Linked DNA regions of Schizosaccharomyces pombe. The main gene of each other region encodes a partner of the protein of the gene in region 3 in a complex. Each region holds a gene or a part of one and is shown on either strand. Other genes may lie near its edges.

Region 1 (4,253 bases), on a different chromosome or scaffold from region 3:
TGCAAAAAGTTATGATACCTCCTATTGTATGGTTAATTGTTGTTGGATAGCTAACTTACGCAGAATTTCATTTTCAAATTGTTGCAACAACATACTCCTGTTTCAATTTGGCTGTTTGAACAAACAGATATAAGACTTCAGGGACAAATTAGGGTAAGAAATTTACTTTATGGAAAATCCCTTCATAGTCGTTGGCCTAGGATTTTGAAATACCTTCATTTTCCCTACGACAAGTTGATGAATTGCTAACGATATATGACAGGGCTTCGACGAATTTATGAACATTGTGCTTGACGATGCTGTGCAAGTAGATGCTAAAAATAATAAAAGGGAGTTAGGTAAGCCTGATTTTAGACGAATAAAACCTTGGTTTATGTGAAAGAATGTTCGGTGGGATTTTATTCAAAAGTCTTTACATGAAGCAAAAATAATAATAGATGCATGTCTTAAGCTGATTTACCAAATTGCGTTTCCAGCAACCTTACAAATTCTAAAACAAACCGTTGATGCAGATTTTTGTTCTAAAATATTTAACAATTTCCCAAACCAATTGCTAACATTGCTTAGGTAGAATTCTATTAAAAGGTGATAATATTACACTAATTCAAGCAATCTAATTTTTTTCCTTTTTGCTGGATTTCTTTTGCTTTTTCTTCTTAGGTTTTTCTTCCTCATCCTTCTTTTCCCTTTTTCCCTTTTTCAATTCCTTTTGCTTTTCCTTCCCTTTATTTTGTAATTCCTCTACTGTAGCATCACCAGTCTCTTGTAAAATATGTTCTTTGATGCCAGACTTGGGTTCAGCTTCAGGTTCCGATTCAGGCCCTACAGCATCTCCAATCGGGCGAAAATGCTGTCTCAGATTCTTTCTTTGAGGAACAAGTGGTGCCTGCGTAGGTATTGTAATACCAGTATCAATGTTTTGTGAAATTTTGGGGGTCTCTGTAATCACATATCCAGTTTTGATTTCATTTGACGTATAGGAACCTTGCTCGTCAGGTAAAAACACACGTACGGAGCTTGTTGATTCTTCTCGGATTTGATAGGTGTTTTCGTTCTCCTGCTTTAATTCTACTGTAGGTTTGGAGCCTACCTTTAGCTGACTTATTTGGTCAGCGGACATGCCAGGCGGAAGTCGTACTAAAAAAACATTGGACTCCTTTTTCAAGTCATTAGTGGTCAAAACAGGCTTTCCTTGCACTTTCTCTAAACCAGCAATTTCTGCAACATCTTCTTGTGCGTTCGATTCGCCGTGATTGTTGCTCTCCACGGATTGTTCAGGTTCTTTCGACGAATGCTGATCCTCTATGCTAGAAACGCTAGATTCATCTTCTGAACTTTCCTCGTTTACAAATTCACTTGATTTTGCCATATCTACGCCCCAGTAGAATTTAAAGTGAAATTTTGCAAGCGTACCTGTATTTTGCTCTGGTGAGCTTGTGGGTCACAACGTAGGTATCATCGAGCTGGATAACGATGCACAAGGTAGTATTCATATTAAAGGAACTTTTATGTGATGAAACAAAAAATAAAAAGTATGTGGTTATAGCAAGAACTCTACTTCTTAGGTAAAGAAAAAAGTTAAAATGGAGCAATCGGTTCACTACTTTATTTTTTCGGCTTAAAAAATGTTGTTTTTCTAGAAATTAATATTCCCAACATCTTTCTTTATCTAGTAGATAGGGATTTTTTTTTTTTTTTTTTAAGTTGTCTGACAATTGCTTCTGTAAGGATCGGACTACTAAGAACGGTCGCAGCTTGACGCGACCAGTTGCTTAAAGGATGTAGTATTATTTTGTGTTTATGTAAAATGGATATCAATTGTAGGAAGAAGTGAGGTACACATAACTAAAGAACGACGTATATATATGTTGTATACAGAGTGTAAACACAATGAGTCAAAATTTAAAACTGAAAAAAAAATACATATCTGCAAACATTTCCTCTTCAATGCCTCATGTATGTGGAAATTGAACAATTATCAACCTCGGCCAGCATAGGCATTGTAGATGCCTCACTCTTACAAATAAAAAGGCAAGAGAAAGATAAATGCTTTTTGGAGAGAAAGAACGTGAGGAAGAAATCAACCAACACCTTTTCATCACAGATACCTTCTAGCAATTGAACGGACCTTTAAATCAAAAGCCTGAGAACGAATAGGTTGGTTAGGTTGATAGAAAGGACTCATTAGAGTTTTGATGTATAATTCGTGGAGCTCTTGGAAAAACAGTTTAATGTTGTCAGCACTTTGGTTTTGGTGAAGAAGCATAAACCTCATATCTAAAAATAATGAACATTAGTAGTTGTCCAAAAGTCACCCCAGATATTTAAAGGGAACAAAACACTTACTAGATGGCGTAACGTAAGCAGATATATACATTTCGTGAAATTGATCGATGGTTTTCATATAACTATACAAAAACAGAGTATTAGCAATGACTGCAAGAAACAAAAGAAATCACAAAACGTACAAGGCATTGCTAGTCCATTGTAGCTGATCCACAATGTCTAAACTCGAATGAACGATAAATTGATTAAGATGAGAATTTAAAGACTAATTCAGATATTAGCGTTCTAAATCAATAGTATTATGTGACATACCCTGTCTAGTTTTTCATTTATAGGCCCCATCTCTAATTCATAAACGGGATTATCTTTCGTTCCTATAATTGCTGCATATGCTGTCATTGTGAATGTTGGTGGAAAGGAAGTGTGAAGCGCGACACAATTTTAAAATGTAATTGTGTAACGTGAATTATACATTTTAAAAAGTTTTAGAAATAATTTGGATAGCTACTAAAATGATTCCATAAAATTTAAAACATTTAAAACTAATTATATCGATTTTACCTTAAAGTACAAAATGCGGCATATCGACGGTCAAAAGAACAATCAGTTTCGTTGTTTCCATTCTTTCGTACGTTACGAAAGCAACAATTGGAGTTTGGAAATCAACTTTTAGGGCCTTCACAGCGAAAGTGAAACTAGCAAACTAACTTTACCATGTCAACGTGCTACATGACTCATTTTAAAGTGTATAAAAATATTATTCATATATTTTCATCCGCTATGGAAAAGAAATAACCAATAATCCCCCAAAAGTAAGTAAAAGAAAAGAAAGAGTACATATCTCTATGTAAATTTATCAGAGCATGAACAAAAAACCATTGTTTTAAATCCAAAGTCCGTCAACTATGCAAGCACGGTAACACAGGGCTTTCACTAATCTAGTAACCCTTCTTTTCATTTTATTTTATCCGAAAATAAAAAGCAAAAAACTTTGATAATGCAATAGTGCACGCGATGTGTCCATTTAACTGTAATATACATTTTACTCCATGGCTTCGTCTGCACCAGGTGCGGATTGAAGAAACTCAACAGAAGCACCTTTCTTTGAATAATAGCCCAAAAGCCCAACCTTAAACTCAGCAGCCGTGATTCCAAATAACTTCAGCAAACGTGTTTGACGACTGTCCAGTTGTTGACCTTCAGTACAAAGAGGGAAATCAGCTAACAACGTCACAACACCATTCTTCAAAACAGTAGGCATACCAAGTTGACGAACTTGTGGCTCTAATGTATGGGTCAACAAAATATCATCTTCGACGGGAATTTGACCAGCACGAGAATAAACAGGACCAGCAGGAATAACATGAGTAAAAGGAGCAACAGCGCCAGCGCGAGCAAAGTCGTTTTGGACGAAGGATTCAAAGTATCCAATAACTTCATCGGGCTTAGAGTTTGTGAATAATAAGCCGACGGCACCATGAAGCAATTTTGTAAGCTTGCTAACGTTCTCGGCATGTTCTTCCTCAGGCGTGTGTCCTAACGCCTTTGCCATGACCTTAGTTTTTCCCATAAAAATACGACTACCCTTCCAATCATCACGGATACGTTTTAAATATGTGTTTCTCATATTAGTGACATCAAAAATCCACATCTATTGAAAATAAACAGTTAGTAAAACAGCCATTTAAAATTTTATACGATCGAGTAGAAGGTGTAAACAGATGGGTATTTGTTAGCAGTGCTAATAAATAAGTAGATAATTGGAAAAAAAAGTATAACTTTAAAACCTCAACGAGAACTCATAATCTAAAAAGCTGTACTGTTGAATTTCAACTTCAAAGCATTTGGAAACACCTTCGTACAAAAATAGACAATTCAATCACTAAAAATAAGCATCTAAATCCATGATGCTCGTTTTTCTCATTTTGTAATCCTTCAGCACGATATTTCTGTTACAACTCCTCAAC
Region 2 (4,244 bases), on a different chromosome or scaffold from region 3:
TACGCATTTTCTAATAAAATTCTGCGATAAACTTCTGATATTTCAGCAATCTTTTGTTCAATTTCCTCTGTTTCAAGGACTACCGAATCAAATGACTTTCGAAGTTTTAAATATTTTCGTTTAAAGGATTTAACAGACGCCATATGTGAAAAGGCAGGTGAGAATATATTTCAAATGGTTGAACACCTACCTGCCCATTTGGGCTCTTGAGTGTTACGGTACATAGTACGCTCCATTTCGTTACACATTCATTTCCATATTAGAGAAAAAGAAATAAATAACCGATATACTACTATTCATAAAATGCTGATAAACATTGAAACTCAAACTCTTTAAAAATTCTGAGAAAGGAAGTATCCACAGGTTCAATCGTGATAGACAATGAATTTTCTCTATTTAGTTTGAACCAGGAAAGACAATAATGAATAAAGGAATAAGTTATACCATATTATTTTTTAAACAAAAAGTAACCCCGAAAAATAGAACCAACAAGAACAGAAGAACTGTTATTTTTTTTAACACCTGGATAAAATAGAAGACAAAACAAGAAAATCGGATATCAAGAGCATCTCTTTCTATTTCATGAACGTTGCCGTATTACTAGACAAATAAAATTTATCGAGCATGAAAATAACGGAAGCAGAAGGACAATCGAAGATATTAAAAACAATAGTCTTCATACAAATCAGTCAGCATACATACATGAAGAACGGCGTAAGAAACAGTGAAATATTGAGAAAATCACAACCAAAAGAATGATTAACAGATGAAAACTCAATCTAATTGTTTGTACTAAATTTATAAGCACATCGAGGACATTCGTAAAACACCGTAGAACCTTCATCAGCAGACCTCAATTGCAAAGTATGGAAAGTCATATGGTCGTTTCCACATTTTGGACATTTTTCCTCAATCTACAAAACTTTGTTAGTATGGCAATAAACCCAAAAAAGGACTATGATAAAGTCCTTTGCCTGACTGTGCCGATTTTTCAATTCACTGGATATATGATACAAAAAAGTTCCTTGATTAGACTCTCCTAATGCATTCTTAAAAAAAAAAAAGTTTTCCAAATGATACAAAGCCTAAAAGGAAAGAAGAATGACAACCAACATGAAAAAAAGGATTCGAAAAGAATAGACAAAAATAAGTTACATACCGTTGCTGCCTCCTCCTTCTGAGATTCTACTTGAACGATACTGTGCTTGAGTTTTAAAGCAGAAGGAAAAGCACTTGCACTACTCTTCGTTTCCACTACCAAATTGGCAAATTGCTCAGAAGGATAAACGGATTGACACTGATCACAAGTAGTCCATTGGGCAGTAGTCGATTCCAACAAGTTACCGCATTCTGAGCAAAATATCAAAGACCCTATTGCCGACATTGGGATTCCTCCTTGCTTGATGGGGAAGGCACTGGTGTTTATGACAAGCTAGTTTGTCTTTGACAAGTGCAATTTTCTTTCGCTGTAACTCATTATTTTGCGGTAAGTGATGGAAAAGCGAGTGTATCATTATCGTAAAAGCCAATACACACTGTGAGCGACTATGATCAGTATAGTGCCTTAATTAGTAAACAATAAGCTAGAGATGAGTAAACGAATTTCCTGATCTATTGATGAACATTATGCTAAAGGCATAAATTACAGACATTTAAAAATCATTCGTTTTTGTAAAGAAATTACTTATTGATAAATCAACCTTGGAATTCCAAGTTGGGGAATTTAAAAAGCTTTCTCGGGAAATTTCACCTATATAAGTATTGTATCGTTGTTTCTGGAAAAAATTCGGTAAGAAAAATTTCTTTGTATTTTTTCAAGCATCAACTAATTGTTTGAAGCTATTTCTTGCTACTTTAAAATTTTGTTGCCCAAACGATTTTTGTCTAGCTGGGCAATACTTTGTTCAAATACAAAGCCTGTCACGGAATACAGAACAAGATTTGTGTACATATATACTAGCGACTTTCAAAATCGTTGTACCTTATAAATTGTGCTTTTGATTATTTAACAAATTCTTCCTTATCTCAAAAGAAAATTATTTTGCTTGATTGAATCATCAATTTGGAAATCATATTTTGCACTTTAGGTATTTTAATCGTAATTTATGTGATAAGCTTGGAAATAATAAAAAATATAAGAATAATAAAAATTTAATTTGTCTGTACGTTGCAACTATTACATGTACAACAGAAAAGCGAACAGATAAATAACAAAATGCAAAAAAAATACTACTAAATAAAAGAAAAAACAAATAAATTCAAAAGATATAGCATTAATAAGAAAAGAGATCACCAAAAAAAAAAGAATCATATTCACGATTTCAATAAAAAGGTCTGTGTATTTTCTACAAAGGATTTGGCATTATACTTACTATTATGTGTTTTCCACTACTTGAGCGTTTCAAATCCATTATGGTTTTGAAAGCGCCTTTGTCTATAACCGCCATAACCCAGTCCATCTGTATAGGGCTCGCTTCCGTATTCCTATATTATGCAATGTAAGGTTGATTTTCTATTTTGGTAAAACAGAGATGAATATGGCATGTTTTTACTAGTGAGATTATTGTGCTGTACCCGACGATTGACAACAGTGGGACTTGTTTGCTCTAGTTATTTAGAAGCAAAAATTTTTTTCCTCATATCTCTCTCTCTTTCTGGGGTAGTCCTTTTTGGAAGAGTGCAACGTGACATAGTCTATGGGATTGTAGGCAACAAAAATGTATAGGAAGAGTTATTGTTGCTACATAATGGAAATTACTTAGTGAGTACCATATCTTGTCGGTGAAAATGGATATTTACTTTGCCGATCATTGCGTAGCTCGGTTTTTGCCAAGGAAAGAAACAAGTAAACCAGTTTGGTAAAGAAAAAGGATGATAAAAAAGGTTAGAGATTTTAAGCGTATCTAAATAAAGGTAAGATACTTTAAAAGTACGTTAAAATCTGTGTCTTGTAAAATTTCCATTTGTAGAATTGTTGCATAAGGATGGAGTACCACTGCTTTAGTATAGTTATACGTAACCATGAGTTGGTTGTCTGTAGGACATAGCGAGAAGATTGAAATTGCTATACGTAGTATTTTAGTGTTTTTGGTTAACTTGTTAATAGACGTTTTTTTCTATTCTTTTTTCTCTTTCGTTGCTTAGATGATTAGTGAGTTGTTCATTGCTTTCTTTGAATTTAAAAGGAAAATAAAAGGGTATAACACAGTATTCATCATCATTTACAACATATCCAATCTTGACTGGCATGCATTTTTTCAAAAACTCAAACAGTGCGATTGACTGCTTGTGCATTGTATCCTTTCGTTCAGCAGATTCTGTCCCAATATCAATCAGAAGCATTTCCCTTCTCGTACGGTTGTTGGAGCTTTGAAAGCAAACAAAGCAGTCTTTTGTTCATCATTCACCTATACTTGTGTTTTGCATCTTCATTGTTTATATGCGACAATTTAAACATCCTTTTTTATTTCGTCCAAAACATAACACCGTTCAGTTGGGAATGTCAATAGCTAGCCGTTTACAAGTGTTTTAATGAATACAACACATAATTAGACAGATTAATTGCCCCAAACAATAATTCAAGAATTGCATTGCCTCGTATCGCGGTATCGAAGCTCACTCAGTGGTACCGAGGTTGTTACCTCGATTCGGCTTTTTTTTAAACTGCCTTATCCAATTAGTACAGCTCGACCCACTGTGGAACGACTTCATAATCCGTATAGGACCGGAACTACGCCAAAACTTAAGATCCGTCTATTTACCATTAACCTCTTGTTTGACTCTCTTCTTCTCTTAACCAAATTCATTGTTTTACATTGAATCTTTGCCATAGGGACAGGAACGAAGAATAATTTGCTTTCTATTTCCTCGTATGTAAAAAGACGAGAATTGTTTACTTAAAGTCTCTAACCAGTTGGAAGCAGTAGATTTCTTAAAAAAAAAACGCCTTTGTAGTTTTGAAGAGAAAAGAGCTTGATTTTTCTTTTCTTTTCTTTATTTTGTTATTTACACAATTTCGGATTTTGATTCAAAACGGACATAAGCATTTCTTTCTTATTCCCTTTGTTTGTATATTTTTTTTGTTGGTTGACTTAGAATCATAAACCTCATCCTTTGACGTGTGCTGTTTATCATCAGGTATTGCGAAAATTACAAAATTCATTCATTCTGCTTTGAGTTGTGAGACGGAGGGTCGCATGATTGTGCCTTTTTTGCATATTTAGGTAAGGCCATTACTTTCTTTT
Region 3 (5,992 bases):
ACTTTTGTGACGAAAAGCTGGGTTAACATCATTCTTTACATGTCGCTGTACGTAAGGTAAAAACGTGATGGTGCTTCGGGATGTTGCTTATCATTACCACTCATTAATGTTATATCAGAAGTTTTTCATGGTATAAATAGTACTGTGTTGTTCGCATGTCGGGTTAGCAATACCATTTTAGTGAAAAGAATTTATAACGTTCTTTTCTTTGGTAGTTGAAAATATTGAATATTTCAAAAATACTCAATAGCATTGAAAAACAGCTTGGTTATATTCAATTTTGCTGAATCTCGTTGATTGCTTAATTGAATAATTATCAATTTCCTCGTTCATTAATTTTTGACTTTTTTCTTTTAATTTAATTTTATTTTTTTGTTCATACATTATGTTGGGATCATTTGTTAAGTTAAACAATGGACTTAAGTGCCCTCAATTTGCTTACGGTTCTTACATGGTGAATCGTACAAAATGCTTCGATTCGGTGTATGCTGCCCTTCAATGCGGATATCGACACATCGATTCGGCTCAGATGTATCACAACGAGGCTGACTGTGGAAGAGCCATCCTTAAGTTCATGGAAGAGACTGGTACGAAACGAGAGGATATTTGGTTCACTAGCAAGCTTAATGATTTAAGTGGGTACAAATCTACTTTGAGCAGTATTGATGCCAGTGTTAAGGCATGTGGCCTTGGCTATATTGATCTGTTTCTTCTTCACTCTCCCTATGGTGATCGTATTGAATCATGGAAGGCGTTGGAGAAAGGTGTTGAAGAGGGAAAACTTCGTGCTATCGGCGTTTCCAACTTTGGTCCTCATCACATCCAGGAATTGTTGGACAGCCATCCAAAGATTATACCATGTGTCAATCAAATCGAACTTCACCCTTTTTGCTCCCAACAAAAAGTCGTCGATTACTGTGAATCCAAGGGTATCCAACTTGCTGCCTACGCTCCTCTTGTTCATGGTGAAAAGTTTGGCAACAAGCAACTTCTCGCCATTGCTAGCAAGTATAACAAGTCTGAGGCTCAAATCATGATTAGATACTGTCTACAGCGTGGATTCATTGTACTTCCCAAGAGTTCTACTCCCAGGAGGATCAAAGAGAATGGCGACGTTTTCGATTTCGAAATATCTAAAGAGGATATGGAGAAGCTCTACAACTTGGATGAGGATTATCATTCGGATTGGAACCCATGCGTTTCCCCTTTATAATATGTTAAATGATCGTCTTGTAAGAGCAGAGAATGCATTTTATTATTTATTTCCTCTGCTATCCCTAGATATGCTAGTATGATAGAATTTACGAAACTCAATTTATGTCAGCTTATATACCAAACATGCATCCAATGACTGTTAGTATGAATTAGTATGAATCCGATATTACTTTTATCATATACGATCATAGATTAGAAAATTCGTATTACTTCCATTGATTTGTAAATGCTAGCATAATGTATCGTAAACTTATTAGAAACCTAAAGTACCTCATGGAAATGGCTCATTTTGGGTAGAAATATATTCAGACTCTTTACTATGTAGCTAATTAAAAGCAAATTCTACCCTAACTTTGGTTTTATCAATTCACACACTTCTCCAAGTACTTTTCGCTTCGTATATGCGACGTATGCGCACTTCACTCATCCACAACACCACACAATAAGACTCCATTAATTGCTTTCCTGTGAGCTCAAGGTACTAAAAACATGCTATTCTTAAAATCCAGCAGAGCATTTTCCAAACGACTGTTTTCTTCATCGACTGTTCGTTATAGAGATATTCAACGTTTGACATTGACTGGCAATTTAACAAAAGACGTTGAGCGTTTGCAGTCTCAAAAAGGAAACGAATATATGCGTTATACTGTAGCTTCCAATAATGGAAAAGACGTAGCCCCTACCTTTCACTCGGTTTATGTTTTCGATAGTTACAATTTCGACAGACTTCAAACTATTTTAAGGAAGGGAACGCGTGTTTATGTGGAGGCCGATGCTGTTTGGCGTTCCGTCCCAGCTGGAAATGAAGGATCTCAAGCGAAAATGAGCCTGCGACATGGTACGCAACATTGCAATGGTCCAAGTTGAAGCCTGAAGCAAAATTTGAAAACAGAATATAGTATTTACTAACCTCTCTTATTAGTATCTGCAGACGTTTTATTTTATCCTCGTAACAAAAATGGCGATGAATCCGGAGAAGAGACTCATCCTGAATTAGACGCAGATCCTATGATTAACAGCTTCTAAAATTCGTGTTTCTAGTTTAAAAATTTTCTGCACTTTAGACCGTTAATATATTTGGGTGGTATTTTTCTAGGGATTATTGAGTTTAAAAAGTCTCCTAATTCATTTTCTCTGCATTATGCACATACTTGGTATTGCTATGTATTTTTCATTTGATGTTTATTTCATTATTCCGCTGGAAATAATCTACCCATGGCTCTTCTGATTTGTTTTTATAGACAATAATGTCTCTGCTGTAATGTTTTCATTGCGTTCTAGGAATTACTTAGTCACCTTTACTCCTTCTTTTTCAAAGTGACAAATTTGTTAGTCCTTTACAGTAAATTAATAATCATTTTTTTTTATTTTAAAGTGTACTCTACGATTTGTAATATTCAGTTTCTTTAATTCTTTTCATTTAATGACTGATCCTCAAACTTCGTTAAGTTAGATTTCGCAGCCTCTGTGACTGTACACTACACTTCGTCAAACAAGCAAAGCTCTTTAAGCGCTAGCATTTTTACCAACAGCATCCACTATTGGAATGGCAGGTGACGAGTTAAAGGGCAAGAAGCGGAAATATAGAGATTCCCATTCCGGTGATGAAAAATCCGTTAAGATATTGCCTTTGAGTGAATCGAGTTTACCACCACTTGTCACGACAATTTCCGGATTTTATCCACCCGAAAATACCCGGTTCCAGCTTCTCAAAAAGAGCAATCAGAGCAACAGAGATGCGTCGTTAATTGGAAGGACAGAGCGTGTTCAATTTGAGGCTAAAAATCAATCAACGGCTACGGTTGAGGCAAATTACTGTTTAGCTGTTGCTGATAAAACTGGTCGTGTAAAAAAGATTGTTCCAGCAAAGTATCTTAATACTTTTGAAAGAAATATTTTGGCACTTCAGGAGAAGGACAAATTTTTGAAAAAGAAGCATGGAACTGTAAGCGGTACTGTTATGGAACAGCGTGCCAACTTGGGTTTGGCATTTGGTACAAGAAAAAGTCAAAAAGCTATTATGGAAGAGTCCGCCAATCGTGTCAAAGCTGAAACTTTGGGAGATGTCAAGGATCAATTGGTTAGTAATGTTCAAAAAGCTACTGAAGCACTTCCAACGCAAGAAGATATCGCTGCTGCTCAAGCGCAAGATCGCCCTATTCCTCCTGTCAATGTCGGTGCTGAATCCATTGAAGATGCATACAAATTGGAGGACATTATTCCCAAAGAAGAGTTTTCAGCTATTTACATTAAGCCTCTGTTAGAAAACCCTGACGAGCGCAATTGGGCCAAATTATTGCCGTACCGTCACTCCTTGTTTATTAATGAACGCTTCCAGCGATTACTTTCCATTGAGGAGGTTGACCAGAAGCGGGCGAGAATTTTGTATTACATTTCTCTTTTGCAAGCTTTTTTGTTTTCTCGTCGTTCTGTGGGCAACCGTGAAACTTTACGTAAAAAATTGGCTGATCCACCAGAGATTCTTATTGATGGGTTGATTAAACGTTTTACTCAAACCACCGGTATTGGTAGCGTCCAAGTATCATCTCGAGAAGTTGATAAAATCATATGTTATATTCTGGTATTGTGCTTAATCGTTGATAATTACTCAACTGATGTTCTTACCTTGGCAAATGACTTGAATGTCAAGACCATGAAGGCTAATGAGCTTTTTAGAACGGTGGGTTGTCGAATTATGGCTTACACCGAAACTCAAAGAATGGCTTTAGGTCTTAACAAAACTGATGCTAAAAATCATAAGCGTGCAGTATTAAAAATTCCCCTAGAGTTCCCTAAACCTCGACGTGGACGCGCTAGAAATTAGAGAAAAGTACAGCGTTGTTTATTTTCAAAAAAATGTGTGTGTGTTTTTTTAAAAAAAAAGAAGGACGGTATATATAGAAGAAACAACTACTGAAGTTCGTGATGTTCGATATCTCCACTGCTTATAATTGTTTTGGACGTCAAAGCGACATTGAGATATCCAAATAAAGTACCAACAAATTTTCAGAAACTTCTTATGGGAATACGGGATTAAAGGTGTTTTTTTATTATAGTGGAAGTACAGAAAATAATAAAATTTTGCATTGTATAATACTTTTGCTATAAGGCAAAGAAGGGTGACTTAGATGGTAACTAACTTTCAAGCAAAAAAGTTACCGTTTTACTCAATAAATCCTTTGGAAAGTTATAACATTGTTGTTTGACTATAGGGTAACAAATGACAATCGAAACTTAGATTCATGTTCAAAACCACCGTATTTATGATGTGCTAGGGGATGGTCTTTTGTATACAGTAATTGCTACAATCACCTGAGCATTAAATGAATTGGCAATAATATCAAGTTAGTATTAATTTTGAAATGGATTAATTATGTGGCCGTAAGTGTTTATGGTAATATGAAACAACACAAAGAAAGGAAATAAAAGGAGCGTGCAAATCCAATGATCATTTGAAACCATGATACAGTTGGTTTTAATCTTTTTCAGTATAACTTGCCCATAAAGCCACCAACTCGTTTCTCGTAACTGGCTCTGCCAAAATTAAACCGTCTCGTACAACCTGTTTAGCCTCTTCTATGCGATGCATTGCCTCCAAAGCCTTTGCTTTCCTATAATAACACTTTCCATAATTATTTCGAATTTTCAAAGCAGCATTTGCATCTGCTAAAGCTTCGGGGAATTGGGAAAGGGCAATCTCAGCAGCCGCCCGATTACACAACATAACACTTGCTTCTTCACGCGTAAGAATCGACGGTTCCCAAGTACAGCGATTCAAAGCGAGTTGTAATGCTAATCCATATAACTTTTTTGCCTCCTCATACTTTTTGCGTTTAAATGCCTCGTTTGCAGTTTGCTTCATCTTATTAACTTGGGTAGACAAGGCCATATTTGGCTTAGCAGGAGGATAGGGAGGTGGAATAAAAAAAGGATATTTAAACGTAGCTAATGACTTGGCGTATTCATTAACCTTTTTGCCCAACTCCAATTCCTTCCCACTCCATTTTGACACATCAACTTGAGGTGCAACCACCGATTCTTGTTTAGCAACCATCGAAGCAAAGTTTTAAAAGAAGAAGTAGTGAAGCTGCTCTTAATGTAAAGCACAAAGCTCGGATGGATTATTATGTACAAATAATTTAGAGAAGACAAGCAATGTTCAATGCAAGTAGTAAACTTGAAAGTGTTAGCAGAACGTGTCACAATACTTTAACACACATAAATACTAACTACGCAGTTTGTTATTTAATTTTAACGATGTGTAGAACTGCAATGAGCTTTATGATCTATTATATTGCAATATTGCAAAAAGCAGGTAATACAAGTAGCAACCGAGGACATATATAATATTTTATGTACGATCTATTGTTACCTATCATTAATATAGCTTTAACTAAACTGAGGAACGAGATTCAGCTGTACCTCTATTTATAATTGTTCTAAAGGGTGTTTTTAATAAAATTTATTTAGTTAGCGGATAGTTACCCATAATTATTAATAACCAGATCTCAACTGATATTCCAACATATCACATATAGTGATACGCAACGAAGTGTATATTAAAGTAGTGTAGTCTTGCACGGTATACATTTTTGCACATAATGCTATTCTTCATTATATGCAAGAGCACCCTGAACTGAGGTTACCAATGTAGTTGGTGTCTACTTCAATTTACGACTCACAGAAAACCCTTCAAAGGCTGAATTCTCTAAACCAACTGGAAGATAATGGATTCTTCTCCTAATGAGTTTTTGAATAAGGTCATCGGCAAAAAAGT

The links. The genes of interacting proteins can lie anywhere in the genome.
Region 1: rpa49 (region 3) and rpa34 share a complex: the UniProt entries of both Schizosaccharomyces pombe proteins name them as parts of the RNA polymerase I (Pol I) complex.
Region 2: rpa49 (region 3) and rpa12 share a complex: the UniProt entries of both Schizosaccharomyces pombe proteins name them as parts of the RNA polymerase I (Pol I) complex.

The regions. Positions count from the first base shown.
Region 1 is NC_003423.3:1,760,868-1,765,120, reverse strand, and holds rpa34 (DNA-directed RNA polymerase I complex subunit Rpa34), read right to left. Parts: upstream 1,428-4,253; 5' UTR 1,370-1,427; coding exon 614-1,369; coding exon of another isoform or gene 568-613; 3' UTR 501-567; downstream 1-500. Other genes in the region: Sm snRNP core protein Sme1, read left to right, coding at 1-26, 64-153, 263-338, 568-617; TRAPP complex subunit Trs20, read right to left, coding at 2,099-2,277, 2,347-2,408, 2,469-2,551, 2,599-2,685; mRNA turnover and ribosome assembly protein Mrt4, read right to left, coding at 3,329-3,937. UniProt on the Schizosaccharomyces pombe protein: DNA-dependent RNA polymerase catalyzes the transcription of DNA into RNA using the four ribonucleoside triphosphates as substrates. Component of RNA polymerase I which synthesizes ribosomal RNA precursors.
Region 2 is NC_003421.2:1,037,273-1,041,516, reverse strand, and holds rpa12 (DNA-directed RNA polymerase complex I TFIIS subunit Rpa12), read right to left. Parts: upstream 1,418-4,244; 5' UTR 1,385-1,417; coding exon 1,160-1,384; exon of another isoform or gene 915-1,159; coding exon 780-914; 3' UTR 501-779; downstream 1-500. Other genes in the region: Ino80 complex subunit Iec3, read right to left, coding at 4-143. UniProt on the Schizosaccharomyces pombe protein: DNA-dependent RNA polymerase catalyzes the transcription of DNA into RNA using the four ribonucleoside triphosphates as substrates. Component of RNA polymerase I which synthesizes ribosomal RNA precursors. Required for growth at higher temperatures.
Region 3 is NC_003424.3:3,924,030-3,930,021, reverse strand, and holds rpa49 (DNA-directed RNA polymerase I complex subunit Rpa49), read left to right. Parts: upstream 1-2,742; 5' UTR 2,743-2,761; coding exon 2,762-4,039; 3' UTR 4,040-4,489; downstream 4,490-5,992. Other genes in the region: SPOM_SPAC2F3.05C (xylose and arabinose reductase), read left to right, coding at 386-1,213; single-strand DNA-binding protein Rim1, read left to right, coding at 1,705-2,053, 2,138-2,241; sec67 (translocation subcomplex subunit Sec72), read right to left, coding at 4,691-5,269; U6 snRNP-associated protein Lsm6, read left to right, coding at 5,943-5,992. UniProt on the Schizosaccharomyces pombe protein: DNA-dependent RNA polymerase catalyzes the transcription of DNA into RNA using the four ribonucleoside triphosphates as substrates. Component of RNA polymerase I which synthesizes ribosomal RNA precursors.